Cricetulus griseus: one gene and its partner. The protein of the gene in region 1 binds, or shares a complex with, the protein of each later gene. Links are inferred from orthologs where the notes say so. Each region holds a gene or a part of one and is shown on either strand. Other genes may lie near its edges. The genes, in order: Dnajb1 and Nudc.

The links.
Region 2: the proteins of Dnajb1 (region 1) and Nudc are in contact, whole or in part, in a crystal structure (PDB 7NDX), measured with the Homo sapiens proteins. The link is inferred for Cricetulus griseus from reciprocal best matches to the Homo sapiens genes DNAJB1 and NUDC. Residues at the interface, in NP_006136.1 of Homo sapiens: His166, Lys181, Lys182, Met183, Lys184, Ile185, Ser186, Asp201, Lys202, Ile203, Ile235, Phe237; in NP_006591.1 of Homo sapiens: Pro102, Gln103, Ile104, Lys105, Glu106, Leu107, Ala112, Leu115, Gln116, Ile119.

What each region holds. Positions count from the first base shown.
Region 1 is NC_048596.1:160,782,513-160,797,306, reverse strand, and holds Dnajb1 (dnaJ homolog subfamily B member 1), read left to right. Parts: upstream 1-8,191; 5' UTR 8,192-8,294; coding exon 8,295-8,505; intron 8,506-9,984; coding exon 9,985-10,565; intron 10,566-10,741; coding exon 10,742-10,972; 3' UTR 10,973-12,057; downstream 12,058-14,794. UniProt on the Homo sapiens protein: Interacts with HSP70 and can stimulate its ATPase activity. Stimulates the association between HSC70 and HIP. Negatively regulates heat shock-induced HSF1 transcriptional activity during the attenuation and recovery phase period of the heat shock response.
Region 2 is NC_048595.1:19,718,907-19,734,021, forward strand, and holds the start of Nudc (nuclear migration protein nudC), read left to right. Parts: upstream 1-5,604; 5' UTR 5,605-5,707; coding exon 5,708-5,788; intron 5,789-6,777; exon of another isoform or gene 6,778-6,887; intron 6,888-9,038; coding exon 9,039-9,116; intron 9,117-14,673; coding exon 14,674-14,877; intron 14,878-14,968; coding exon 14,969-15,034; intron 15,035-15,115. UniProt on the Homo sapiens protein: Plays a role in neurogenesis and neuronal migration. Necessary for correct formation of mitotic spindles and chromosome separation during mitosis. Necessary for cytokinesis and cell proliferation.

The DNA of each region.
Region 1 (14,794 bases):
TGGAGTCCATGAAATGTGGGTTACCGATGAATGTGAGCCACCATGTGGGTGCTTGGAATTGAATTTGGGTCCTCTGTTAAGACTAGCAAGTGCTCTTAACACTTAAACCATAACCCCCCAGGGAGCACCTGTCCCTGAAAAGTCTTCTATTCCTGTTCTAAACCTGAGTGTTCACTCACTGTCCAGACACTAGGTGGGGAGAGTTAATGCCATTTCCAGCTACAGTGGGAACTCCAGGCTTCTTGGGGGTTTGAGTGAGGACACCTGAGACCTGGTCCTGGTCAGTCTCAGCCAAGAGTTAAACACTGGAGTTGTTAGTGTATGGTGTCTGCAGCATAACCATGCAGAATTGTCTTCTCATGTGGGGGCTGAAAATTGAACCAGGATCCTGTTAGACTGAACCACCTCTCCCCCTAATCTCCATTGTTAACTTTTAATGTCTAAAAGTCATTTTGAATCCTCGAGTTCAGTTGGCAATTTTGGTTTTCTCCATTAAAGATCAATAAAGTCTTGTTCTCTTGGCAAGAAAAAAAAACAAAAACAAAAAACCATAAACCATCTTTCCAGGCCCCTGTACTTTAATTTGGAAAAAAAAAAAAAAAGGAAAAGAAAAAGAAAAAGAGGTGGACAGCTCCAGAGCACCTGAAGCTGACCTCTGGACTTCTATTCACAAGTATATGCTTACACACACACACTCAAAACACCAGCGTGTAATTCCAAATAGTCATGAGGCTGAAACAGGAGAGTCATAAGTTCAAGGCTAAACTGAGCTATGTACCTAGATCATAGGCCCCCCCAAAAAGAAAAAAGAACAATAACAAACAAACAAGTCAGGTGTTGGTGGTGTACTCCTTTAATCCCAGAACTCAGGAAGCAGAGGCAGGTGGATCCCTGTGAGTTAGAGGCCAGCCTGGTCTACAGAGCAAGTGCCAGGATAGGCTCCAAAGCTATACAGAGAAACTTTGTCTTGAAAAACAAATAAATAAAAAATAGAAACTAGTGATCCTCCTGCCTCTGCCTCCTTCAGCAAATCCTACCAGCGTGTGACACCACAACCTGGAAGCAACCTAGATGCCCTCAACTGAAGAATAGATGGAGAAAATGTGGTACATTTACACAATGGAGTACTACTCAGCAGAAAACAAACAAACAAAAAAAAAACAAAAAAAACGATGGAATCTTGAAATTCGCAGGCAAATGGATGGAACTAGAAGAAACCATCCTGAGTGAGGTAACCCAGTCATAAAAAGGCAAACAGGGTATGACTCACTTATATATGGATTTTAGATCTAGAACAAGAAGTAGCAACCTACAATCCGCACCTCCAGAGAAGCTAGGAAACAAGGAGGACCCTAAGAGAGATACACATGTCCCCCCTGAGAAGGGGGAAGAGATAAGATCTCCTAAGCTAACTGGGAGCATGGGGGGAGGGGAGAGGGAGTTATAAGAGAAGGGGAGAAGAGGAGGGGTGAGGAGGACATGAGGGAGCAGGACAATCTAGTCAGGAGAAGAATAGAGGAGAGGAAGAAAAGAGATACCATAATAGAGGGAGCCATTATAGGTATAAAGAGAATTCTGGCACTAGGGAAATGTCCAGAGACCTACAAGTTTAACCCCTACTAACAATCTAAGCAGTGGTTGAGAGGCTATCTTAAATGTCCTTCCCAGATAATGAGATTGATGACTACCTGATATGCCATCCTAGAGCCTTCATCCAGTAGCTGATGGAAGCAGAAGCAGACACCCACAGCTAAACACTGATCTGAACTCCTGGAATCCAGCTGCAGAGAGGGAGGAGTGATGAGCAAAAGGGTCAAGACCAGGCTGGAGAAACCCACAGAAATAGCTGACCTGAACAAGTGGTTGTTCATGGACCCCAGACTGATAGCTGGGAAAGCAGCATAGGACTGTTCCAGACTCCCTGAACGAGGAGGTAAGTTTAGAGGTCTGGACAATCTAAGGGGACAATGGTAGTGGATCAGTATTTACCCCTAGTACACAAATGGACTTTGGGAGCCCTCTCCACATAGAGGGATACTCTCTCAGCACAGACACATTGGGGAGGGTCTAGGCCCTGCTCCAAATGATTTGACAGACTTTGAAGATCCCCCATGGGAGGCCTCACCCTCCCTGGGGAGCACAAAGGGGTTGGGATAGGGGATAGGTGGGGGGCAGGGGAGGAGGTGAGGGAGAGGGAACTGAGACTGACATGTAAAAGAAGCTTGTTTCTAATTTAAATTAAAAAAAGAAAAAAAAAACAACAAAGAAAATCAGTGGTGGAGTCCTTCCAGTAAAAGGCTTTGGGTTTGATTTCTGGCCCCACAAGCTTGAGGCAGAGGGAATTAGCTCAATAGAAGCAGGGAGCACACAGAAACTAGACGGTTCTCTCGTCTTCTCCTCCTGTCTCAGATCTAGAAGGTTAAGAAGTCCTTAAAGGTAGTTCCGATGACAGGGAGCAGGGTAGGACCAAGGTGTGTCAGTACACGTGAGCCATCCAACAGGACTGCTGAGAATTAAACTGAGTCCTCTTTGAGGACAGTATGTGCTGCTAACCACCGAGCCATCTCTCCAGCTCCCAGTTTGGGCTCAAGGTAATCTTGAACTTAGGATCCTCCAGACTCAATCTCCTAAGTAGCTAGATTGGCAGGAGTGAAGCTCCGTGCCTGGCTTCCTGCTTTGGATAAGTGTAGCTGGTGCTGGGAATCCCTTGTCAGCCTCATCTGGCTTCCCATACACAGCCCATCAGGAAATGATAGATCCAGTCCTGCATGGAGAATGGTCACTTTGTTCAAGCCTCTCACTGTGAGACAGCTTTGTCAGGTCCTGTCTGGAGACAGAGCTTCCAACTGTGCCCTTGCACACCTAGCACAGAGGCTGATTCATTCCTAATGACGGTGGGCACACCCATGATCACGTGCTGACTGACAGCATGCAGCAGAGCAGCAGGAGCAGCTGAGACACACATCAGTGACTCCTCTACCCTGAGTTTTGGAGAACTCGGTGGCAAGAATCTGACTTCAATAGAACATACCTCACAGTAAGGTAGGTGGTGAACTTCCTGGGACTGCCCCACACTGTTTCAGAGTATGTGATCCTGGCACAGAACTGTCTAATGGAGGCTATGAAGCCAGGCTTAGACATGTTAGAGCTGGTTAGTCACTTTCTGCTGTGTCAAGAGCTCTGAGAGATTCCCTAGTCCCACCCATCCCACCCACCTGTAATTCCAAGTAGTCTTGAGACTGAAACAGTAAGATTATAAATTCAAATTCAAAGTCTGCTGAGGGAGAGAGAGGGAAAGACACACACACACACACACACACACACACACACACAGAGAGAGAGAGAGAGAGAGAGAGAGAGAGAGAGAGAGAGAGAGAGAGAGAGAGAGAGAAGCTGGTTGGTGTGGCACAAACCTTTAATCCCAGCACTCAGGAGGCACAGGCAGGTTGATCTCTGTGAGTTCAAAGTCAGCCTTCTATAGAGTGAGTTCCAGCACAGTTATGGCTACACAGAGAAACCCTGTCCGGAAACAAAACAAGACAAAAAAGAAATTGTTTTAATCTTTAAAAACAATGAGACAGTATCTTTCACCCTCAAGAATCCCCGTGTAGGGATTTTCGGCAGTTTCCCTGTCCCTAGCAACTGCTGATCTACTCACATACTTTTGTGTTTTCTGGAAGGTCATAGAAAATAGAAGCACACAGCCTTTTGAGCCTGGTTTCTTTCACTGACATAATGCATGTGAAGTGCACTGGTATTGTTTTCTGTATTCATGGCTCTTTTCTTTTTATGGCTGAATAATATTCCATTGTGTAGACAGATTACAACTTGTATAGCTACTCAACAACATTCAAGTTCTATTGGTAATTATTCATAAAGCCTCAGTAAAAATAAAACAGTTTGTTACATAAATTTAAGTTTATTTAACTTTTTAAAATTATACTTACTTGGACTGGAAAGATGGCTCAGCTGCTAAAGGCTAAGCTCACAACCAAAAACATAAGATTATACTTGATTTGTGTGCACGACGTGGGAGGGGTGCACATGCCACAGTTTGCAGCTGGATAAAAGAACAACTGCAGGGAGTCAGTTCTCTCCTTCTGCCATGCCAAGTGGGTCCCAAGGATCAAACTCAGATCCTCCAGGCTTGGTGGCGAGAGTCCTTACCTGCTGAGCTGTCCTGCCAGCCTTTGAACATAGCGTTTTTGTTGTTTCTTCCTTGATTTTTTTGTTATTGGTGTTGTAGAGATTCTCCTGCTTCAACCTCTTTAGTGCTGAAATCAAAGCTATGTGCCACCATGCCCAATTTGAACATAGCTTTCTATTGCACACAGACTCTCCCTAGGAATGGCAGTGGTGACTAATGGAACTGCTATGTTTTTGGACATATCTGACAGACAGGTAAGGAGTTGAAGAGAACAATAGTAAAATTCTTTTTCTTTTTGTCTTTTTTGTATTTGTTTTTCTACACAGGGTTTCCCTGTATAGCCCTAGCTGTCCTAGAATTGACTTTGTAGACCAGGCTCAAACTCACAGAGATCTCCTGAATGCTGGGATTAAAGGCATGTGTCATCACCATCCAGCAGTAGCAAAATTCTTTAAGGCTTCACCAACATTTAACACATCACACACCAGTGCCCCCAGTAAGAGCTCAATACAGCAAGCTCATCAATGCTTTACTCTCTGTGGCCTGGGCTAGCTCTTATAACTTAAATTAACCCATTTCTATTCATCTATGTGCTGCTCTGAGGCTCATTTACCTCATCTACATAATTCCCATTCTGCTCCTCTGAGTCTCTAGGCATCTCCTCCTGACTCCCGACATCTTTCCCTCTTCTTCCCGGCATTCTCTCTGCCCTGGAAATCCTGCCTCGTCAATGGCCAATCGGCTTTTTATGAACATCGAGGGCAACACATTTCCACAGCACATTTGACTCTGCCTTACCTGAGGCAGCTGAGCTAGTCCTCTGAGCACCACCCACATGGCAACAACATGAGGTAAAATCTACTATCTCCATTTTATACCGTATAGACCATCTCCCCAGGATGCAGGCCTTGACTTTAGACTGCCAGGTCCAGATGTACCTGCCTAGCTCCTGGCTGAGGAAGACAATGTAGGGTATGAGGCTGGTGTGGTAGGTACACCTTTAATCCCAGTACTCAGGAGACAGAGGCAGGCAGATCTTAGGAGTCCCAGGCCATCTAAGGCTATATAGCAAGAAGTGTCAAAATACAAAAATAAATAAATAAAAATATTTTGTGTGTAGGGGTCAGCAAGATGGCTCCACAGGTAAAGGTACATGCTGCCAAGCCTTAAAGTCTAAATTCAATCTCTAGGAGACACATAATGGAAATAACTGACTCCAGATGGTAGGTGGTGGTGCACGACTTTACCCAGCATTTGGGAAGAAGAGACAGGCAGATCTCTGTGAGTCTGAGGCCACCCTGGTCTACAGAGTGAATCCCAGGACAGCCAGAGCAGTTACACAGAGAAACCCTGTCTCAAAAAAAAAAAAAAAAAACTGACTCCCAGAAGCTGTTCTCTGACCTCCATCCACATAGGCACCATACCAAGTTCACACACAATAAATGTAAGAACGATTTTAACAATATTCACTGTTCACTCGGGAGGAGGGCAGGGTGTGTGTGTGTGTGTGTGTGTGTGTGTGTGTGTGTGTATGTGCACAAATTTACGTGAATATGTATATGAAGGTCAGAGGGCTTAAGGTGTCATTCCTCAGGAGCGGTCCACCTTGGTTTTGTTTGTTGTTTGTTTGTTTGGCAGGATTTCTCTGTGTGGCCCTGGCTGTCCTAGAACCTGCTCTGAAGAAGAGGCAGGCCTTGAACTCAGAGATCTTCCTGCCACCACCTCCCAGCTTAAAATCCATTATTTAGCCCTATGTCTTTTTTGTTTGTTTTTTGAGGCAAGGTCTCACTATATAGCTCTAGTTGTCCTGGAATTCACTATGTAAACAAGGCTGGCCTGGTACTCAGAGATGCAAATGCCTCTGCCTCCCAGTGCTGGGATTAAGGGCATGTGTTACCACCACTAGGTGGTGTTAGTTTTCCACACCTGTTGTTTTTTTTTGGGGGGGGGGTGTTTGTTTTTTGTTTTTTTTTTTTTTTTTTTTTTTTTGGTTTTTCAAGACAGGGTTTCTCTGTGTAGCTTTGGAGCCTATCCTGGCACTCACTCTGAAGACCAGGCTGGCCTCGAATTCACAGAGATCCACCTGCCTCTGCCTCCCAAGTGCTGGGATTAAAGGCATGTGCCACCAACGCCCAGCTCCACACCTGTTTTTAAACCACTGAAACTTCCTGGTAGCAAGGTGGCAGGTGCTTGTCAGCTCAACACTAAGATTGAGGCAGGAGAATCCCAAGTTCAAGGCCAGCCTGGGCTACAAGTCCAAGACAAGACCTTGCCTAAAAAAATAAAAAATAAAAAAGTCACAGTAGTAACTAAAACACACCTTCAAAACTATGCCCCATCATTACTTAGAGAGCAGGACATTTCCAGCCTTGAGGTTGTCCCCAAACACAAACATTTCCTGTGCAAAATACGGTGGACTAGAAACCTTAGTGAGACCCAGCCAAGCCCCTCTAGAGGCACACCTGAATGTCCCCACTGAAGAATTCCTCATGCTCTGCGCTTTCCGGTAGGGGCAGCTCTTCTGTTCTTTATGGAATTTCTGTTTCTATTCACCTATTTTGAGGCAAGCTCTCACTCTGTAAACCATGCGGGCCTTACACAGTACCCCTCCTGTCGCAGCTTCCTGGTGCTGGGATTACAGGAATGTTCCACTGTGCCAGCTCTCTTGTTATTTCTCTAGGTAACATTGAATATTTCCAAGTGACTGGTTCAGGACATCCTCTGTTGAGCTAAAGGATCCCCTAGTCCCAATTCCATTTTGGGGGCAGGGGCTCAACTGTGTTTAGACAGAGCCCTTTTCAGTTCTCTTGGGGTCAGTGTGGTCAGGAAAACCAGAACACACACATCCGGATAGACCACCAAGAGAAGGCTAAGGTCATCTTTCTCACAGGTCTCGGGCTGTCCAACGCAAGGTTCAGCAGAGGCTCAGACGCTGCAGGGCTGCCAGAGAGGAGGTGTCAGCGTCATCCACTAAACAAGACAATTAGTCATCCCTTTGTCCCTGGTTTTTCTTGAGCACTTTCACAGATGCTGAGTAACGTCAACTTCCTATATACAGCGGCCATTCCGATTTCATAAGTGAGCACGACTGAGGCCAGAACGGCTACTTTACCAATTCAAGGTCACACAGCCAGGAAGTACTAGGATCTGGAACGAAGCCTACTCTCTCTGGCTACAGAGTCAAGGCTCGTGCTCTGACTTCCAGGTAGTTTCTCTCCCTGCAGGAACCAAAACCGACTACCCCCGCTTCTCTAAGCCTGGCAGTTTCAGAAGCTCTCTCCCCTTTGCTCTCAGCTGTGTCCTTGACCGCCATCATCCAAGACTTAAAAACCCAAAGAGTCAATTAACAGAGGTGCTCTGTTCCCCCACAGCAAGAAGCGCCCACGTCAAAGCATTCGGAAATATTTACGAAGCACCTAGTGGGTCCTGAAAAAGATGCACAGCCACGAAGCAAAATCCAATGTCTGCCCTGGTGGTGAACTCAGACAGCAAAGTGAGTGACATCTACCCGGAACGCCAAGAACCCGGCTAATTCCTCAGCAGGAAGTAAGGAAGCCTGAGTACCCGGACTGGGGCGATCCCTCGCCAGACCAGCCTCACCTCGCTTTACAGTAACGGCCTGTACGGAGCAACCGGCAGGAGAGGGTGGGGTGCGGACTTTTATCCCTGGGTGACAGCAGAGGGAACTTGGAGGGACGGGTCGGGCAGCTACAAGTCACCGGGCAGGACCGCCCAGCCGGTCTTCACCTAGGGACAGGGTGCGGCTTCGGAAGAGACCCGCCTCTGTAGCCCCGCCCCCTCCCCACGTCGTCACCAGTCGGCAGTGAGAGCGGGCCGCGATTGGCTGTCTCCACTGCGGAGGCGGGACCTCAGGCAGGGGCGCGCGCGCCCCAGGGAGGCGTTGACCAGGGTAGAGCGGGAAGGGGCGTGGCCTCGCGCGGAAGGCCGTTGGCTGCCGGGTCCCACCCCGGATGTTCTGCGTCACGGAGCGGCCGGCAGCGATTGGCCCGAGTGGCGCGGCGCGCCGGGAGGGGCGGAAGGTTCTGGAGGGCTGGCGGGATCTGGAAGCTTCCGCCGGACGGGTATATAGAGTCCGGGACAGGGCAGCTGCGGAGCCGGAGGCGGCGACAGCTGGGCGGCGGTGGCCATGGGCAAGGACTATTACCAGACGCTGGGCTTGGCCCGCGGCGCGTCCGACGACGAGATCAAGCGAGCCTACCGCCGCCAGGCGCTGCGCTACCACCCCGACAAGAACAAGGAGCCCGGCGCCGAGGAGAAGTTCAAGGAGATCGCCGAGGCCTACGACGTGCTCAGCGACCCGCGCAAGCGCGAGATTTTCGACCGCTACGGAGAAGAAGGTACGCGTGCGCGCGGCCGGGGGTGACCCGCCGTTTGACAGGCAGGGAAACCGAGGCACTCGGGGCCTCTCTGAGGCCTCGGCCCCGCATCGACGGCCCGGGGATCCGGCGGCGGTGCCGCCTCCGCCCTCTGATCGGCGGCCTCAGCCGGGAGGAGGAGCTTTGGGCGCGCCCGCCGCTCACACAGAAGCTTCTAGCACGTCTGCCGCAGCCCCTCCCGGCCGGCGGGCCGGCCGCCTGCACAGCGCCCGAACGCTGCAGACGGAGGGCGGCGGTCGCGATCGCTAGGGTGTGAGATTTTGAAAATCGCCCGAGTGTTTGTTCCTCTGGGCCCGCTAACCCGCAGGCTCAGCGCTTAACCCAGAGTTGAGCTGAGCCTTTCTGGCCGCAGTGCGTAGGAACTTCTCTGTAAGGTGTTACAGCATGGCAGAGAGGATGGGGCTGTCAAGTAGACCTGGTGGCGCCGACAGCTGCAGGCCTTACTACCGAATTGTCACGAAGTGAAAGGGAGTAATGTGTTTCCTGCTCCTGCTGCCATTGGCAGTTAAAGACTTGAGATTCACCTAGAACAAACTTAAAAATACATATAACCCCTCCCACTACGGTTCCCAGGGCTTTTTTTATTAAAAGCAAAACTTGTTGAGCCAGGTGCGGGAGCTCACACACCCCACTTTGGAGGCTGAAGCATTGTTGTGAATTTGCTTCAAATCTGAGCTACAGAATGAGCTCCTGTTTCCAAAAGAGCAGGATGTAGTGACAATCCCAGGTCTGGTATGTCTGAGTCAGGAGGATTGCCTCTAGGCTAACCTGGACTATTCAGCAAGTTCAAGGGCTATATAACATGACAGTCACCGGATCGCACTGTGTAGTTCAGGCTTTTATTTTTACTTCTATATATATGGGTACGTGTATGTATGTATGTTCACTGTGTACTTGCTTCGAGAGAAGAGGATGTTGAATCCCCTGGAATTGGAGTTAGTTGTCTGCTGTTGTGTGGGAGTTGATAATCGAACATGGTTCCTCTGCCATAGGAGCAAGTGCTCTTAACTTCTGAGCCGTCCCCAATGCCTCGTGTTGGAGTCCTGGCTGGTCTGGAACTTGCAGAGATCAACCTGCTCCTGTCTTCGGAGTGCTGGGTTTCCAAGCATTCGACACCATGTCTGGGCTTTCTATTTTAAGGATTTTATGGGTTTGTTGGTGGGATTTTTTTGTTTGTTTGTTTTGTTTTTTTCCCCCGAGACAGGGTTTCTCTGTAGCTTTGGAGCCTATCCTGGCACTCGATCTGGAGACCAGGCTGACCTCGAACTCACAGAAATCCACCTGCCTCTGCCTCCCGAGTGCTGGGATTAAAGGCATACACCACCCAACGCCAGGCTTGATTTTGTTTTGTAAATGTGTTAATTTATTGCAGTGCTAGAAATGGAAACCAAGGGCCTTGACTCTCCTACAGTAACTCTGATTTCTGATTTTGTTTTCCAGGCCTAAAGGGTGGTGGCCCCAGTGGCGGTAGCAGTGGCGGTGCTAATGGTACCTCCTTCAGCTACACATTCCATGGAGACCCTCATGCCATGTTTGCTGAGTTCTTTGGTGGCAGAAACCCCTTTGATACCTTTTTTGGGCAGCGCAACGGGGAAGAAGGCATGGACATCGATGACCCATTCTCGGGCTTTCCAATGGGTATGGGTGGCTTCACCAATGTGAACTTTGGACGTGCCCGCCCTGCCCAAGAGCCTGCCCGAAAGAAGCAAGATCCCCCAGTCACCCACGATCTCCGGGTCTCCCTTGAAGAGATCTACAGCGGCTGTACCAAGAAAATGAAAATCTCCCACAAGCGGCTGAACCCCGATGGAAAGAGCATTCGAAATGAAGATAAGATCCTGACCATTGAAGTGAAGAGGGGCTGGAAAGAAGGGACCAAAATCACCTTTCCCAAGGAAGGGGACCAGACTTCCAACAACATTCCAGCTGACATCGTCTTTGTTTTAAAGGACAAGCCACACAATATCTTCAAGAGAGATGGTTCTGATGTCATCTATCCAGCCAGGATTAGCCTTCGGGAGGTAAGGCACTAGGTGGGAGAATCATGAAAGGAGATGACTGCTCTGAGGAGCAGTGGGGGAGACTGGCTGGAGCTCAGCTGCATGGGTCTGGTGGACCTGAACCTTCTCTCTGGATGTTGGAGGAGTCAAGCTTCCTAAGCCAGCTTCCATCTAACATAGTCCTTTTGCTTTCCTAGGCTCTCTGTGGTTGCACTGTAAATGTCCCCACTCTGGACGGCAGGACCATCCCTGTTGTATTCAAAGATGTCATCAGGCCCGGCATGCGGCGGAAAGTTCCTGGAGAAGGCCTCCCTCTCCCCAAGACACCTGAGAAACGTGGGGACCTTGTTATCGAATTTGAAGTCATCTTCCCCGAAAGGATTCCCCTGACATCCAGAACCGTCCTGGAGCAGGTTCTTCCCATATAGCCACCTGCATTCTCCAAGGACTGAGCCAGGGACTTTTCCAGAGCTGCAGATTTCCGGACCGTTCACTGGTTGCATACTGCGGGAGGGCCCAGGGAGGGCTTTTGCTCTGCCGAATGTTTTCCACAGAATATATTACAATCTTTCAAAGTCGCTCACTAGACTACAGTGATTTTTTGAGTGATAGGCAGGCGGTGGGAACAACAGCCCTCCTGGAATGGACCCACCCTCTGCATCCCAGCTCCTGCCCAAGGGTGTGAGGCAGGCCTGCAACTGGACTCGCCCCCATTGCTGTCCTTTAGTTTCTGGCTCTCATGTGGCAGTGACCACCATCTCAGTTGCCAGACCTTGTGCACTAGTCAGTCTCCACTGTGTGAGAGGTTCTTGTTTTATTCTGTATTTGTCCCATGCCTTGTTGTTCCTCCCCAGAAGAATCCTGTCTTGTCTTGGCCATCTCAAATTGAGACTAGTTCAATAGGACTGCCAGGCCAGCATCACAAGCAATACCTGGTTACAGGACCACATGGCCAGCCTCAGGTGAGCAAGTCTCACTGCCACCTCCCTCCGGGTTTGGGACCTGGACAGCCAGGAGAGTCCCTGAACCTCTGCTCTGTTGAAATCAGGTAGTTGACTTATGGTCACAGTATTTGTTGGTCCAAAGGTAGTCCTTGGCCGTAGCTGGGACTTCTCAGAGGCCTGGGTGATTTTTTTTTTTTTGTGTAATAGACTCTGAACTCTCTCAAAAGGATATAATCCTTTTGAATTTTGCACAGCCCTAGATATAATCCCTTTATATAAAAGGGTCTTTGCTTCTGATGAAAGGAGCCCTGTGAAACGTCTGTAAATATGTTTTTATAATTCCATTCAAAGCTGGTGTGCGCCCAGATGAAAGCAGTCCCTGTCAACTACTACTGTCTGTCCAGGGCTGTGATGGAGTCAGCCCTTGGGAGTGAAGGGGTCTGTTCTTTGAAGCTAGCCCGGTGCTCTGGCATTCGACTCATTGTAAGTTGCCACTACCAACACGAGACCAAAGTGTGTGACTTGTCATTCTGCAGTGTGACAGCATTAAAGACTGATGGCAAACCTCAGGGGAGCAGTCCTTCGACTCTGTTTGAGGGCTTTGCTGGGGAGGGGCGGCATGGTGAGAGTCCTCGTCCTCCAAAGAAAGCTGTTTCCCTCCCGGGAAATTGGGTAGGGGCCTGCTCTGAGCACATTTTCTGTCTCGAAAGGCCTCTGGCCACATGTGGGCACTTAGTAACCAGCAGGGCTAAGGATTAAAGCTCCACCTGCCCAAATCCCAACTAGGCCTGGCTAAACCAGGCCTAGGATGCTAGACTAACTGCTTGGAGCTGGCCCAGGGTCTGTTCTGTGGGAAGTGAGGAAAAAACCCACTCCTGTCCCAACCTTATTTATGTGGGTATCCTAGGACCTTAAATTACTTTAAAGAGCTAGGTTGATTATAAAGCAAGTAGGACATAGGCTTAAAGGAGTGTGTTGGGTTTCTTGCTGTATTTTAGTGGTGCTGGTAACAGAACCCAGGTTTTTGTCCTCTTAAGCTGACTGCAGCCACAGGCCATGCTGCAGACTGCTCAAAAGTAAACCTTGTTTTTAAAAAAATTATAGCATTGCATAGAAAGTTCATTTAAGAGCCAGGTGTAGTAGCACACTTCTGTAAAGTCAGCTCTGAGGGTTACAAAGACTTGGAAATGTGACTAAGCCACAATAGAATATGGGTCCAGCCCATGCAAATCCACCTTCTGCAGGATGTCCCTGTGAACTTGGTAGGGAAGTATGTGCACGGACATACTGTTTTAGAAACCCACAAACAGCATGGCCAACAACCTGGGGAGTGGGAGATTTGGGGGGGGGGGAACATACTGTTATTAGGGCCCAGGGCACATGTATTAGCAGTATGAAGCACTGGTATATATGAGTGAGGCCCTGGGTTATAGCCCCACACCTCAAACCCCTTAACATGGCCTGAGAAGGGAACAGGGCCTGCCCTGAGCCTGGGGTTCCCTTCCTATTACACGAGGGCACCAAAGAAATTGTTTTTTGTGTGTTCAAGAAAGTGCCTGTGAGGGTTAGTTAACAGCACTTGCTTTTGTATAGGACCCTGGTTCAGTTTCAGCACCCACATATAACTAGTTCCATGGGATCTGATACCCTCTTCTGGTTTCAGGCATCAAACATGCACATGATAAACATACTCCATGCAGGCAAAGCACTTTTACATATCAATAAATCTAAGGCCTCACAAGTCTGTGCCTGTGCTTTGTACATTTTCAGTTTCCTTTCTTGGCTGCCATTAGCACACTATGAAACTGGACAGGACTCACAGAGTGAAACTCATCCCCCCACTGTCAGGTGTTCTGTTTTCTCGGGGCCTCTGAGATGCTGCACAGAATGCCTATCTCTGAAGCATTGCTTTCCCCCTTCCTATGGCATAGCAGGGCAAGAGCTGCTTCATTCCCAATACTTCCATCTCTGTCTCATTAGCTCTAACTGGGATGGGGGAGTTGTAAAGACCCAGTTAATGGACGACTTTTGCCTCCAGCTTGAATTTTTGCTTCCAGGTCTGCATTCCAGGATAGTGGGAAATTACCAATACGGAGTCAGGTAGAAATATAAGGGTATTTAATAGGGAAAAGCCTTACTTACAGAGCGACCTAGCCAGCTGGTGGGTCAGCAGCCTGTACAGCAAGTACCAAAGAGCAACCGAAACCGCAAAAGCAGTCACACTACGTCACTCTGACCACGCCCTCACAAGCCTGGTCAGGCACACCTGTAGCCAGCCCCTAAGAAGGCGTGGCTACAGCTTCCCCTACAATTCCCCTTTTAGTCTAAAAGAGGATTAAAACTTAACAGTATAAAGTATCCAAAATTAACAATCATAAAGGTAAAATATAAGAAGATACAACAATCTGCTTATGTCACCTCCTAACTATGTTAACTAAACCCTACAGTCATCTGAGAGAGGTGTCCAAGCCTGAACACCTCCTTCTCCAGCTTGATCTTTTTCAAGCAGTATGATGTTGGGCAAGGAAACCAACCTCATTATGCCAGTGTTTGAACTGTGAAATGGGTATAATAATAGGACTTTTTTTTCTGAGCATGATGTCTTATAGTAAGCAAGGTCAAAGCCAGCCTATGACTGGTTTTTAGACCCTGTCTCAAAAAAACTAAAAAGTCAGCCTGGAAAGTTAAGGTGTCTCAGTGGTCAAAAGCCATAAGTTTGTAGAAAGCCCAAGTTTGGTTTCCAGCACTCAGGTCAGGTGCCTTGCAGGGGATCTATGGCCCTCTCTGGCCTCTGGGGGCAACTGTGTTAGCATGTGCAAACCCATACAGACATATACAGAACACACTAATAATTTAAAAAGTAAAAAGGGGCTAGGTATAGTGATGCACACCTTTGATCCCAGTACTTGGCAGAGCCAGGTGGATCTCTGAGTATGAAACCAGCAACCTACAGAGTGAGTTCCTTAGTGAGCTACATAGTGAGACACCTGGCCCCCGGGGGTGGGGATGGAGGAGAAAGGTTGAGTGTGTAGCTTAGCAATTGAGTGCTTGCCCAGCATGCACAAGGACCTGAGTTCCATTCCCTGTACTGCAAAAGTATAAAGACATGCAACTACCTCTCTTCTAGGTATGTAAGGGTTTCCAGATACGTAAATGGTACACACACCAGGCACATACTGACACAGAACAGTATTGTATGTCAGCTCCACCCATAACACCTTCCCAATGACAGACAAGTCTGTCCTGGATTAGTACCGTTGCCAATTCCCAGGAACCAAACCCAGGTGTATCGATGACCTCAGCAGA
Region 2 (15,115 bases), on another chromosome or scaffold:
GAAGGCGGGCTCTAAGCTGCCCTAAAAGAGGAGTGCTGTTTCTATGTTAGCCATTCTGGAGTTATTGGGGATTCCATGGCCAAGCTCAGAGAAAGACTCAACCAGCGGTAAAAGGAACGGGAGTCCCTACAAGGCTGGTTAAAAGGATGGTTTAACAGCTCCCCTTGGCTCACTACCCTAATCTCCCCCTAGTTCTTAATCAACAATATCAGGCTCTCAGGCAATAAGAAGGACCATAAGTTTTAGAATTAAAACCTCACCAAAAAAAAAAAAATGGGGGAATGAAAGATTTTAGTTTGCTGAGAGAAAAAGTTTTGAAAGATTTTAGTTCACAGAGAGAAAGTTCCCACAGGCCTCGGCCCATTACAAGGCAGTTGGCCCCAACCCCGGCACATCCTATGGTTTAGACGGGGGCAATCGCCAAGACAACCCTCTTTGGGTCACACCTGACTGGCCAACAGACAATCAAGGACTTTTCAGGGTACGTTCTGTGGTTTTTCCTTTGTAGAAAAGCAGGTCACACCTGGGTGACCACTCTAACATGAGATCATTCTTTGTAATCAATCACTTTGTGCCCCTTGCCTGTATGCTGATCTGCGGTTTTTTCCTATATAAATAAGGAGCTTGCATCCCATGCTGGGGTGCGCAGCTTTCCCGATATTGCTGACACCCGAATGCGCATTCGTTCAATAAACCCTCTTGCTTTTGCAGCTCTTGGTCTGGTTTCTGAGTCTCGGGGGCTCCTCGGGATCCTGAGGCCCTTAGGGGTCTGGGGTCTTTCACTATCACACCTGCGTGCTGGCTGCTGCTGCTGCTTTTAAATTTAATTTATTGCATATGATGACTGCTGGCAAAATAAAAAATAAAATCAATATTTTTGTGTGTATGAACTGGAGTTAGTTTTACCTTCCACTTTATGTGGGTTCCAGAGATTGAACTCAGGCTTGTCCAGGGGAACTGCCTTGATCTGCTGATCCATCTCGCTTAATCATTTTTAAAATGCTTTTTTTTTAATTTGGGGCTATAGAGATGGCACAAAGATTAAGATCACTGACTGTTCTTCCAGAGGTCCTGAGTTCAATTCCCAGAAACCACATGGTGGCTTACAACCATCTGTAATGAGATCTGCTGCCCTCTTCTGTCCTGCAGGAATACATGCAGGAAGAGCACTGTATACATAACAAATAAATCTTAAAAAAAAAAAAGAAAAAAAAAAAGCTGGGCAGTGGTGGCACATACCTTTAATTCCAGCACTCAGGAGGCAGAGGCAGTTGGATCTCTGGGCGTTCAAGGCTAGCCTGGTCTACAGAGCTTGTTCCAGGACAGCTGGGACTGTTATACAGAGAAACCCTGTCTTGAAAAAAAAAAAAAAAAGTCTGAACAAGCCAGTAAGCAGCTCCCCTCCATGGCCTCTGTGTCAGCTCCTGCCTCCAGGTTCCTGTCCTGACTTCCTTTGATGATGAACAGCAATCTGGAAGTGTAAGTCAAATAAACACTTTACTGCCCAACTTGCTTTTGGTCATGGGGTTTCATCATAGCAATAGGAACCCTAAATAAGGCACATTGTATGTCCTAGAACTCTGTAGATCAAGAGGGCCTTGAACTCATAGAATCCACTCACCTCTGTCTCCTAAGTGTTGAGATTAAAGGCACGTGCCACTGTGTCTGATTAAAAAATTATGGTGCTGTGCATATGGATATCAGAGGATAACTTCTGGAAGTTAATTCTCTTCTTGCACTGTGCGGATGCTGGGGGTTGAACTCACATCATTAGGCTTGGCCACAAGTGCCTTTACTTGCTGAGCCACCTCACACTAGCCCAGTGTGTGCATTTATATGGGTTTGAATTCATGGACTCCCATCCAGTAGCTGATATAGTGATACTGTCATTATTTATACTCATGAGCAGATGATCATGCTGTCACCAATTTGGCAACTAGAAGCCTGGTTACCGTGCCTGTGCCGTGGTGTCCATGTCCTCTTGATCTGCCATGTTGTCCTGTGAATATACCTTTGTTTTCTGCTATAAAAGACACAAGTCTTCAAGTTCCTCCAATCAGCCAGTATTCCAGTCTGACTCTGGCATGGGAGTGTAGTTATGGAGGGAGCTTGCCTACCATATACAAGGCCCTGGCTTCTGTAACATGAATAATTTAAGACCCAGAGACAGATATTGGGGTTCAAGCTTCAAGCTGGAGACCAGAGAAGCAAAGGTACCAGCCATTAGCTATTACCTGTCTCCATGACTCTCCAGAGACAATGCTATCTCCATGAATCCTCAGAGGCAAAAGCTCTGTGTTCCTGTGTCCTCCTGCCTTATATTCCTTTCTCTGCCCAGCCAGATCACTCCTGTCTCCACCTCTCTAGTTATGGGATCAAAGGAGTGATCTCTGTTACTCTTCACTCTTGTGTAAGTCAGGGTGGCCTTGAACTCAGAGAGATCTATCTGCCTGTCTCCTGAGTCCTGGGATTAAAAGGTGTGTGTCACCATCATTGCCTGATCTCTATGACTTGTGACTAGCTTTGCTTTCTGAACCCTTCAGGCAATCCTTAATACATCATAAACAATATATCATCACAGGCTTCTATGCTCAACCAGAGTAAGGGGGGGTTAGAAAGAATAATGCAGAAAGAACAAAACCCAGAACAATCCTATATTGGATGGGAATTGATCATGTGATGTGATGTGTGTGTGTGTGTGTGTGTGTGTGTGTGTGTGTGTGTGTGTTGTGTAGAAAATGAATGTAGAGGAGATGGTTCATCAGTCAGTGCACTCCATATTTTTTTTAAAGATTTATTTTGTATACAGTCTTCTGCCTGCATGTCAGCCTGCAGGCCAGAAGAGGGCACCAGATCTCATTACAGATGGGATCCACACCCCCATGTGGATGCTGGGAATTGAACTCAGGACCTCTGGAAGAGCAGCCAGTGCTCTTAACCTCTGAGCCATCTCTCCAGCCCCTTCAATACTCTTGTAGAGCACCAAGGTTCAGTTCTCAGTACCCACATGGCAGCTCACAACCAAACATCAATAACTCCAGTTCCAGGGGATCCAACAGCGCCAGACACTGCATACACATGGTGCACAGACATCCATGCAGGCAACACACACACACACACACACACACACACACACACACAGACACACACACACAATCTACAGCTGGGTGGTGGTGGCACACACCTTTAATCTCAGCACTTGGGAGGCAGAGGCAGGAGGATCTCTGTGAGTTCGAGACCAGCCTGGTCTACAGAGTGAATTGCAGGACAGCTAGTGCTGTTACACACAGAAAGTCTGTCCTGAAAAACCAAAAAAAAAAAAAAAAAAAAAAAAAAAAAAAAATCTAAAAAATTTAAAAACGAAATAAAAATTATTTCTAAGCCTCACAGAAACTGCTTCGACAGTGCTTCCCCTTGTCTGTGGGGCTCAAAGTAGATGTGATATACCTGGTGCACTCAGGCACTACCTGAGTAGTTCTTTGGAAGAAGGAGTTGAGAAGGTGGAGCCTCTGCCAGGCTGGAAGCTAAGTGTATGGAGAGATCACTAGGAACCTGTACCTCTGACCACGCCCATTTGGTTGTGGTCACAAGAATGTACAAGGAGTGAGGAATAAAGAAAGGGCTGAGAGAGAGGTCACAAGCTGTCTCTTGGGTTTGGTTTGGGTCGCAGAGAGCAACTGAGCTTGATCCTCGGAGCTGGAACTTGGGGTTTATCAGTTTCTCCCAGAATAAAATTAACCTTTATTTTACATCCACACTATGGGGAGCTGTATTTCCTGTGCCGTGGATATGATCTTAAGGCCAGATGTCATTTCTCGAATCCCTAGAGGGGGGAGAAAAGGCTGTGGCTAGGATTGCTATAGTCCAGGGCCTGTCTGGAGCCACTTGCTCAGAAAAGTCCAGGGCTTCTGTCTTAGGGTTTCTATTGCTGTGATGAAATACCGTGACCAAAAGCAAAAATGGGAGGAAAAGGCTTATTTGGCTTACACTTCCATATCTAAGGAAGTAAGGACACGAACTCTCAAGTAGGGCAGGAACCTGGAGGCAGGAGCTAATGTAGAGGCCATGGAGGGACGCTGCTTACTGGTTTGCTCCTCATGGCTTGCTCAACCTACTTTCTATAGAACTCAGGACTACCTGGCCAGGATGGTGTCATTCTTAACGGGCTAGGCCCTCCCCCATCAATCACTAATTAAGAAAATGTCCTACAGGTTTACCTCTGTGGGCTCTTTTTGTTTTGTTTTGTTTTGTTTTGTTGTTTTTGAGACAGGGTTTCTCTTGTACTGGTGTGTGCCACCAACGCCCGTCTGGAATTCTTAACTTTTCTGTTCTTTGGCTTTGGAGTCTGTCCTGGAACTAGCTGTTGTAGACCAGGCTGCTCTTGAACTCACAAAGATCCACCTGCCTCTGCCTCCCTGAGTGCTGGGATTAAAGGCGTGCACCACCAACGCCTGGCCCCCTCTGTGGGCTCTTAAGGAGGCATTTTCTCAATCGAGGCTCCCTCCTATCTGAGGATTCTAGCTTGTGTCAAGTTCACATAAAACTAACCAGTACATCTTCTAACTGGCAGATGACACAGGCCAGCCTTCAGAGACCTGAGTCTGACAGGGGAGATGAGTCCTGCTCTTTGGGAGTGTTTAGCTGAGGTTCAACCCCTCTGAGTCCCTATTCCATGGAGAGAGATACAGCCAGGCTCTCAGTAAATGTTTGGTAATAATCTTCCAACAGTATAGCACTTCCAGGTTTACAAAGTAAAAAATAAATGCACACTCGAGGGTGGGGGGGGGGCTCTTAAGGGGATACACATGGGCTATCTCAGTGCTTGGAGATGAAGACAGGTGGACCAGTACAAGGCCGTCCTTGCCTTCAGTACGCCATCCCTGTCACAGCAAAACAAATCAAGCCATCACCATCACTCCAACCACCAAAACAAAGAACAGAAAAGTTAAGAATTCCAGACAGGGGCGTTGGTGGCTCACACCTTTAATTCCAGCACTTGGGAGGTAGAGGCAGGTGGATCTCTGTGAGTTCGAGGCCAGCCCGCTCTCCAGAGTGAGGGCCAGGATAGGCTCCAAAGCTACACAGAGAAACCCTGTCTCGAAAAAAAACAAAAAAAACAAAAACAACAAAAAAAAAAGTTCCAGACGGCAGGGGAAGAGCATTAATCCAAGTGCAAACAGTTTCTAAGCCTGGGCTTTATGCAAACTACAGTTTTGTGCACTCTTCCAAAAGCCTGGTCCTGGATGACGGAGTCAGTTGTCCCTTTCGGGAGCGCTTTCTTGCTGGGTCTCAACTGTCGCTCGCAGCTGAAGGTACTGCTTAATCAAAACTTCTCCTAACTTCCAGCCCTATCAAGATGCGAGCTCAGAGCTTTCTAGAAGGCTCCTCCCGGGTATCTGGTGACCATAGCAACTCAAGCCAAACTCTGCGGCCGCAAGTCCCGCCCACCGCTTTGGGGTCGCGACTGTTGATTTGCTCCTCCCGTTAGCCAATGACCGGTGAAGCGGGCTGCGTTCCGGGAGCGCAATGGCCACCGATGGGCTGGGAGGCGGGAAGAGAGCAGGGAAGGGCGGACCCGGGAGGCCGGGGCCGTGCGTGTTTCCGGCTCCGCTGCGGAAGGCCGGCCAGGGGGACCGTTGGGCCCGACGCGAACCGTGCGGAGCGCGGGCATCGCCGAGCGCGAGTGCAGAGCTCGCAGTGCAGCGCGATGGGCGGGGAGCAGGAGGAGGAGCGCTTCGACGGCATGCTGCTGGCCATGGCGCAGCAGCACGAGGGCGGCGTGCAGGAGGTAAGCGGCGTGGCCCGCGCCCCAGCCCTTCTCCGCCCTGGATCGCCCAGACCTCCCCCACCCCGGCCGCGCGGGTCCCCGAGGCCCCGCGGGCTGCCCTCGCGCCCCAGCTTCCGGTCCGCCCACCCCGCGAGCCGCCAGCGCCCCGCAGCCGGCCCCCGAGGGCAATTTCGTGGTCCCAGAGTGACCCCAGAGCTTCGGCATCCACTCTGCGCCCCACGCGGGCTTCTGCTGGCCTTGTAATGGTTGCGACTCTCCCGGACGTGATTTCCATCTTAGCCACAAGCGCAGGCAGCCTCCCTGTCTGTCACCTATCGCTCATTGCACGCAGGGGAGTGAGAACCGCGTGAGGTCAGCACGTGGCCCCCTTAAGCTTGAATCGGGGAAGTGAACCGCAGACCTCTCCGTTCCCTTCTGCTGGGTTAAGCGCCCCGCACCACCTAGCCTCAGTTGTCTAGTCTGTGAGGTGAAATTTAGAAATGCCACATCTTGGGTTTTGCTTTTGTTTTTTGACTCAGGGTCTTTGCTGTGTACCCCTGGTTTGCCCAGAACTTGTTATATAGACCAAGGTGGATTTAGGGTCGTCCTCCCGCCTTTGCCTTCCGAGTGCTGAGATTCAGGTGTGTGCCTAGTTTTCTTGAGTTTAGGAAAGTCTTTCAAAGGGAAAGACCAAGTTCATAATAATAAGGTTTGTTCATCAGGTGTTTGTCATTATCTTGGTACCTGACATAGAAGACTGGTCCTGAGGATGCAGACACAGCCGGAGACCAGGCATTGCCTTCATGAAGTTACTGATATATAAAGAGAACTTCTTGCATGCATATATATTATTTTGGAGCCAGGTGTGCCTTTAATACCAGCACTCGGGAGGCAGAGGCAGGAGGATCTCTGTGAGCTCGAGGCCAGTCTGGTCTACAAAGCTATACAGAGAAACCCTGTCTCAAAAAAATCAAAAAGCAACTTTGGGAGGAAAGGTTTATTTCACTTACTGTTCCATATAATGGTTCATCATCAAAAGCAGTGAGGACAGGAACCCAGGACAGGAGCTGATGCAGAGGCTATGGAGGATGCTGCTTGCTTCCTGTGTTGGCCCTCGTGGCTTACTCAGCCTGCTTTTTTATAGAATTTAGAACCACCAGCTCAGGGGGTGGCACCGCCCACAATGGCTGGGCCCTCCCACATCAGTCAGTAATTAAGAAAATGCAGGCTTGCCTATAGTTTTATTTATTTATTTATTTATTTATTGTTTTTCGAGACAGGGTTTCTCTGTATTGCTTTGGAGCCTGTCCTGGAACTCTGTGAACCAGGTCGGCTTTGAACTCACAGAGATCTGCCTGCCTCTGCCTCCTGAGTCCTAGGATTAAAGTCGAGGGCCACCAATGCCCAGCAGCCTATATCTAATCTTATGCAGGCATTTTGTCAACAGAGGCTTTCTCCTCATGTGACTTTAGCTGTGTCAGGTCACTACAATTCCAAGTCATTTTATCTAGGTGGTTATGTTGTTCAAGGACTTCTGAATCTCTTGAAGGGGCAGAATGTGTCAAATCTGCAAATGTCCTAAACTGACATAATATGGATCTGGGAGTGAGTTCACTTTCTGTTTTAATACATTTAAAGTGCCTAGAAGTAGGGATTGCACACAATGGGCTAAATTCTCCTGTCAAATTTAGAACCATAGATGAACCTTGAAGACATTTATGAATTAAGTCATATAAGAAAGGACAAACACCTTTAATCCCAGCACTCAGGAAGCAGAGGCAGGCAGATCTCTGAGTTCGAGGCCAGCCTGGTCTCCAGAGAGAGTGCCAGGATAGGCTCCAAAGCTACACAGAGAAACCCTGTCTTGAAAAACCCCCCAAAAAAAAGAAAGAAAGAAAGAAAGAAAGAAAGAAAGGACAAACACTGCCGTCAGTGGTGGCGCATGGTTTTAGTCCCAGCACTCAGGAGGCAGAGGCAGGAGGATCTCTGAGTTTGAGGCCAGCCTGATCTACAGAGTGAATTACAGGACAGCCAGAGCTACACAGAGAAATCCTGGCTCAAAACAACTACCAAAGGCTGAAAATGTAAGTGGAAAGTCTGATAACAGAACCTTCCGAACATTACAGCTTAGCAATATAGTGCAATGTAGGGTATTGGTGGTTTGCTTTTGTGGTGTAGTATCGGACTGGGAGCTGACTCTGGCTGCCTAGGGTTGCAGGACACCATCTGTACACATAGTCCAAGAAAGACCAAATAGATTCTATTTCTACTTGGTGCATGCTGCTGTTGTACCAAGATGAAGTCTAAGCCCTAAGGTACCTACCATCATCAGCTGGTGACCCTCTGTACTCTGAGCCATGGCTCCTGAGTCTTATGTACGAAGAGTCTGCCATTCTCTAGCCCATCTCCCTTTCTGTGCCAGACACTCACTGCCAAGGGTTTACTGTGTAGAGAAAGAGTCCTAGCATTCATTGTGCTCAGCTTCTCGAGGATACCATATGACCATCTGCCCCAAGTTTCTCTTCAGCTCTTCTGTCTGTGATGGACCAAATCCTGGACTATAAACCAAAATAGACCCTTTCTCCCTACAGTGACTTTCTGTGGTGTTCCGATGTCCCATGTCCCCCGCTTCCCCATTTCTCTGTGTTATAGCCCCAGCTATCCTGGATGGCCTCGAACTCCGTAAGATCTGCCTGCCTCTGCTTCCCAGGTGCTGACAGCAAAGATTCATGTTACTGTCACCCTGCTTTTCTCAGGTTTCCATTTTTTAAAAAATACTTATTTTTGTTTTATATATATTGGTGTTTTGCCTGCATGCATGTCTGTGTGAGGGTATCAGATCTTGGAGTTATAGACAGTTGTTAGCTGCCATGTGGGTGCTGGGAATTGAACTCAGGTCCTCTAGAAGAACAGCCAGTGCTCTTAACCACTGAGCCATCTCTCCAGCCCCCAGGTTTTCCATTTTTGCTTTTAGTAACAGCAACAGGAAAAAACTAAAACAACACTGGGAAATAAAAGTACTCTGCTCTTTTGAGACAGAGTCTCACCAGAGAGCTGAACCAGACCAGAAGTAAACCCATGATCCTCCTGCCTCAGCTTCCTGAATTTCGGGCTTCTCAGGAACTGAAGGGACTTGGTGGAGAGGCTGGCTGTTAGGTGGGAGCTTCAGAAGTAAAGATTCAAATTGAGATTCTCTCTTAAACTGAAACTTTGTCTGCAGCTGAGGCCCCACGCTGAGCCCCAGGCCTCAGTTTCCACCCCTGTCTTTCAGCTTGTGAACACCTTCTTCAGCTTCCTTCGACGCAAAACGGACTTTTTCGTTGGAGGAGAAGAGGGGATGGCAGAGAAGGTGAGTGCTGGGGACTCCTTTTCCTTGGGTGGATCTGTTGCTGGGAGACAAGCCTGGCCTGGCTCGTCTAAGCAGGAGCAGGACGCCAGCAGGATGGGGGCTTGGAAGGGGAATGAGCTGTCACCCAGGACCCACTCTTGGAATGGTCCTTTGTCCATGAACTTCCTGTGGCTCTTGAGTAGTTTCATGGGTGTCAGCCGTCCCCATTTGATGGGTGAGGAAGTTCACTCAGGGGTGTTTTACACTCTGCAGAGTCCTGAGCGGAACTGTAGAAACACCATGGAGACTGTCTGCTGTAGGTTTGCTTTCTGTCTCCGAATCACCCTCCACCCCACAGGGTTTTTGCCAATTACCTGGCTGGAGATGAGTAGACAGACATTACATTTGGAGGCCAGCCTGTGCTACACAGTGAATTCAGAACTGTGGTATGTGTCGCCATCACAAAAAAGAAAGCAAAAATTTAAAAAATCACGCAGCAGTCCAGGCCTGTCATTTCAGCACTTAGGAGATGGTGGCTCAGGGCCATCCTTGGCTGTATAGTCTACTGGGCTACATCATTAGACCCTTGTCAGACAACTCTACTCCCCCTTTCCGCCAGGATACAACGAGCTCCTACCTGGGACTCACTTGAACAGCTTCCATCAGAAAGACAAGAAAAGCTGTGTGTGATGGTGCTACACAGGGTTACTGTGGAGGCTGAGGCAGGAGGGTGGCTTAAGTCTGCAAGTTCGAGACCAGCTGGTACACTTGAAAAGTGACAAAGACGTGCAGAAGTTGGGATCACTGGGCACAGCCAGAGGGGATGTCAGGTGGCTCATCTACTATGGCAAAGAGCCTGGAGTCACCTGGAGAATAAAAATAGAATCACCGTGCCCAGCAGTTCCATTTCTGGGCACGATAGGGAAGATTCGGTTGCACATGCCTCCATTTCTGGTGACAAACATTATTCAGAATAAGCAGGAGGTGGGCGGGGCTGGAAGAGAAGGCTGTGTGGGAGGGCTGGCCGCAGCTGCTCCCAGCACCCGAATCAGGTAGCTCACAGTTGCATGTAGCCAGCTTCCTGGGATCTGACGCCCTCGCCCAGCCTTCTTGCCCACTTGGACTCGGTTGTGAACACCAGCTCAGAGATGCGGATGCGCATAAGTAGGGTTTTTTTTTTTTTTTTTTTTAAACTTGTTTTTGTTTTTCGAGATGAGGTTTCGCTCTGTAGACCAGGTTGGCCTCAAACTCAGATCCACCAGCCTTTGCTTCCCGAGTGCTGGGATTAAAGGCGTGCACCACCATGCCCAGCATGAGATCTTAAACTAAAAGCCCACTGGGGAGTGGCTTGTAAGATCCAGCCTCAGTTCTCGCTGAGTCTTCCTAGCAGTCTACCAGTCCTGAGCTATGAGATGGGATTCTAACAGACAGGTCTATCAAGTCTATCAAGATTCTTCCTATCAAGATCCATCCGCTTGGAAGTACCAAGGACTTAGGAGTTTTGTGCCGGGAACCTGGGACAAAGACTTGGTTTCTTTACTGTAGCTCACGTCCACCTTGCGGGTGCAGGGTTTCTTTTTCTTCCCTAGAACTACACTGTAGATAGACAGAAGTGGTTTCTCTCTGGCGCTGTCAGTTCTTGGTCATGCCTATACCTATGGACCTATCATTGTTCTACCTCTTTCCTTTATCTGGAGAAGCTTCCCATCACTCACTCTTTGCTTCTGTGCAGGAAGAGCCCATGTTTCTGCTTTCAGAATAATTACTAGTATGTTTTCAAGGTGACTCACGAGGTGGGTTTTTTCTCTACTCATTGCCGGGCGTGGCGGCGCACGCCTTTAATTTCAGCACTCGGGAGGCAGAGGCAGGCGCATCTCTGTGAGTTTGAGACTAGCCTGGTCTACAAGAGCTAGTTCCAGGACAGCCTCCAAAGCCACAGGGAAACCCTGTGTCGAAAAACCAAAAAAAAAAATCTCATGGGCTTGAGTAAACATGTTCCAGGGTTGTTACCAAGTCAATCAAGAGGGATATCTGTTACAGGACACAGGCTTGTTTTGCTTTTGATCCTAGCATGAGCCTCCCTATCAGGCCCCGTGTAAACTGCTGTCAACTTCCATCTTGGGAGTTTGTCAGGCTATTGTCACCTTCTTCCCTGATTCCCTCTACCTAGCTTACTTAGGTTAGCCTTCCCTGCTTCCTTTGTTTATAAATGTTTGAATAGATATACTTCCTAGTTAGCAGCTTAATGAAAGGTGTTTTGTACTGCCGGGTGGTTGTGGTGCATTCCTTTAATCCCAGCACTTGGGAGGCAGAGGCAGGCAGAGCTCTGTGTGTTCGAGACCAGCTGGTGTACAAGAGCGAGTTCTAGGACAGGCTCCAAAGCTACACAGGGAAACCCAGTCTCAAAAAAAAAAAAAAAGAGGTGTCTTGTAAAATTCCCCTGCGTTCAGAAAAATGGTTGAACTGCTACAAAGAGAGGTATCATCTGTCTCTGGAGGGCATGGGCATAGTCGTCATGATGCCACTCAAGTGAGGAGGTGCTGATGGCAGGGTGAGGTGCAGGTCAGGGGCCTTGTTCTTCACAAGACAGGGAATTTGACTTGGTAAGAAACAAAAGGTGCCCTGAAAGCCACCTCAATGGGGCAGGGCTAGCCCTGGACCAAACAAGGCTGTCCCAAGTAAAGGAAGCAACAATAGTAAATGAAGAGCTGTGGAAGTTACTAAAAGAAAAAGTTGCATGAACACACACACAAACGCACGCACGCACGCACGCTCGCTCGCTCGCTTTGCAGGCCAGATAGAAGGACCTGGGCAGAGGCTGAGCGCATAGGCTGCGTGCTAGGAAGTAGTGGGCCATTCTGTGTAAGGCTGGTACCAGGTGGGTCTTCATGGGTGACTATTTGCTCTGGCCTTGGTCACTTGGATGACAGTTATCACTCAAAATGAGGAGCTTCCTAGGAGAAAGTTGCTGGGGTACTGGTTTGTGGGGTGTGGGAGTGTAGCAAGCTTCCTTGTCTGACTATCTTTGGATTGGCAGCCTCCAAGTAAGGACACAGAGACTTAATATTAATTCTGAAAGCTTGGCCTTAGCTTAGGCTTTTCCTTAAGTAGCTCTTAAAACTAACTTAAATGAACCTGTCTGTATTAATCTACATTTGTCATGTGGCTCAGTCACTTCTGCTCTGTACCGTGTGTCCAACTTAAGAGTTTCCCTGGCATCTCCCTGCCTCTCCTTCCTAGAATTCTCTCCGCAGAATTGCTGCATATTCTCTCCTGCCTAGCTATTGGAAATTCAGCTCTTTATTAAACCAATCACAATGACACGTCTTCAGTGTACAAATATCCCACAACAGGTAAGGGTGGAGAGAAGCCATGTTGGTTCTGCCTGTTCCTTAGGTAAAGGCTGCTGGCTCTGTATCTCTCCCATCCCAACTCTAGGCATATCCTTGCTGAGAAATCTGGGGCCTGTGGGGCAACTTGAAAGTTGAGAAAGGGCAGGAGCCAGGTATGCGGCTCTAACACAATCTGGGAAAGGGAGACAGATGGTGGGGTAGGCAGGGCCAAAAGACAGAATCAACAGGACACTGTCTCCCTGAGCACCCTGACCAGATGATGCATCCCTCTGTGGTCCACTGCTACCCTGAGTAACCTGAGCATCCCTCTGTGGTCCACTGCTACCCTGAGCATCCCTCTGTGGTCCTTTGCTTGTCAAGTGTTACTAACCCTGAGAGTGATCAAGGTCAGGCTCTCGGCCTTTCTTTGGGTTAGGCATAAGTGGCTCTGCAGTGTGCCCTTCCAGACTAGGAACCATTCTTATCCCCATCAGTTCTGTTAAGAAAACACCTGTGTTCGCCGGGCGTTGGTGGCGCACGCCTTTAATCCCAGCACTTGGGAGGCAGAGGCAGGCGGATCTCTCTGAGTTCGAGACCAGCCTGGTCTACAAGAGCTAGTTCCAGGATAGGCTCCAAAGCCACAGAGAAACCCTACCTCAACCCCCCCCAAAAAAAAAAAAAAAAAAGAAAAAAGAAAAAACACCTGTGTTCAACCCACCAGGTCCAGAATACCTCACTCTGTCCCGCCTGCCAGCCTGTGGCTCCTAACCCTGTGTCAGTGGCTGAAGCTTGACTCGAGACCTCTACAACCTCTGCTGCATAGGCCACCTCTAGCCTATGGTGGGAGGGGACTGGCAAGAAGGGTCAGAGGCTGTTCTGGTTGGCTTTGACATTGCCTGGTGGCTCGTGTCTGTCCTCTTTTAACCTCCAGTGGCTAGGAAGTAATAGGACAAGTGGATTGTGACATGATTTATGGGGCTAGAAGAGGGAGGGCCCTGTTCCTGTCCCTCCTTGGCCAGTGATTGTCAAATGGCTTGAGTTCAAGGTCCCCCTGATTAGAAACTGGGGACAAGGCCCTTTGGTGGAACAGTCTCTTGCAGTTGCTTCATGACCTGTTTCTCTCCTCAGCAGCATGGCCTCTGAGTTCCTTGTTTCTTTCACTCCCATTATTACTCCTTTTTAAAGAAATAGTTTACTTATTTTATTTTATATGTATTGGTGTTTTGCCTGCATGTATGTCTGTATGTGGCAATCAGATTTCCTGGAACAGTTGTTACAGACAGCTATGAGCTGTAACGTGGGTGCTGGGAATTGAAATCTGGATCCTATAGAAGAGTAGCGAGTGCTCTTGACCACTGAGCCATCTCTCCAACCCCCGTCATTACTCTTAAGCTTGCTGGCACTGTGGTGTCTTCTTTGCTTGCAAAGTCTGAAGCTATCTCAGTGAGGCATGGGGCTGGGGATTGGAAGGGAGGGTCACAGATGAATGAGTCTGGGGACATTTGACAGAACCTTGGGTATAGGAGACTTCTGTGACTGCGCCTCCTTCCAGCTTAGGTGCAGACGTGCTTGGAATATGGTTCATTGAGCACTGATCACGGGGTGGTTGCCCTGGGGACTCCTTAGGTATGCACTTTGTATGAAGTGTGGGTGGCCACAGAGTTGCAGTAGGGTCTGTTCAGAGTCGGCTAGAGACATTTGAGCTGGTCCTGGAGACTGACCAGTAAGACAAAGAGCTCATTCTAGGTGAGAACAGCATTTGCCGAGGCTGTGTTTACAGAGAGACTGAGATGACTCAGGTCGTTCTTCAGACCTGTGGCAGGTGCTAGGTGGGGAGTCCTGGGTGGCAGGGAGGACATCTAGCAGGTCCTGGGGTTAAAGCATCATGGGATACTTGCTCAGTGGACATGAAAGAACTTGAAATTGGAAGTTCTCTGTTTAGGAAGGAAAATAGATTCTTCCCTTGGGAGGGGAGGGGTCTACTTGCTGATTCTGAGTGTGACTTTGAGTGCTGCCATCTGGGGCAGAGAGACAGCCAAGGAACAGGAAATGTAGACCTGGGTGCTAGGGCAGGCTTCTTAAAGGGACTGAGCTTGAGATCTGTTTGTAACAGAAGCAGTACCAGCACCCTCCTCACCAGTGCACAGCTGTGTACCTGGCACCAGTTGCAAGGCAGAGGTGAGCAGGGCTTTGTCCCTAGGCCTTAAGACATTGTCCCTGCTCTGATGTTTCACTGCCCTCCCCAGCTCATCACGCAGACCTTTAACCACCACAACCAGCTGGCACAGAAGGCTCGGAGAGAGAAGCGAGCTCGGCAGGAGACTGAACGTCAGGAGAAGGCAGAGCGGGCAGCCAGGCTGGCCAAGGAGGCCAAGGCAGAGACTCCTGGGCCGCAGATCAAGGAGCTGACTGATGAGGAGGCCGAGAGGCTGCAGCTGGAGATTGATCGGGTGAGGCCGAGTGTCCCTCCTCTGCCCCCTCCCTGACTGCATCAGTCCTGGGAAGTAGGGCTCTGTTCCAACTGTGTACCCTTTGTCACAGAAAAAGGATGCAGAGAATCATGAGGTCCAACTCAAAAATGGCAGTCTCGACTCACCTGGGAAACAGGTAAGATAGACCTGGCACCAGCTTCCTCCCTTCAACGGGATTCTCTCCTCCCCTCTCCTGCCCCCAGCCTTGAGGACTCTT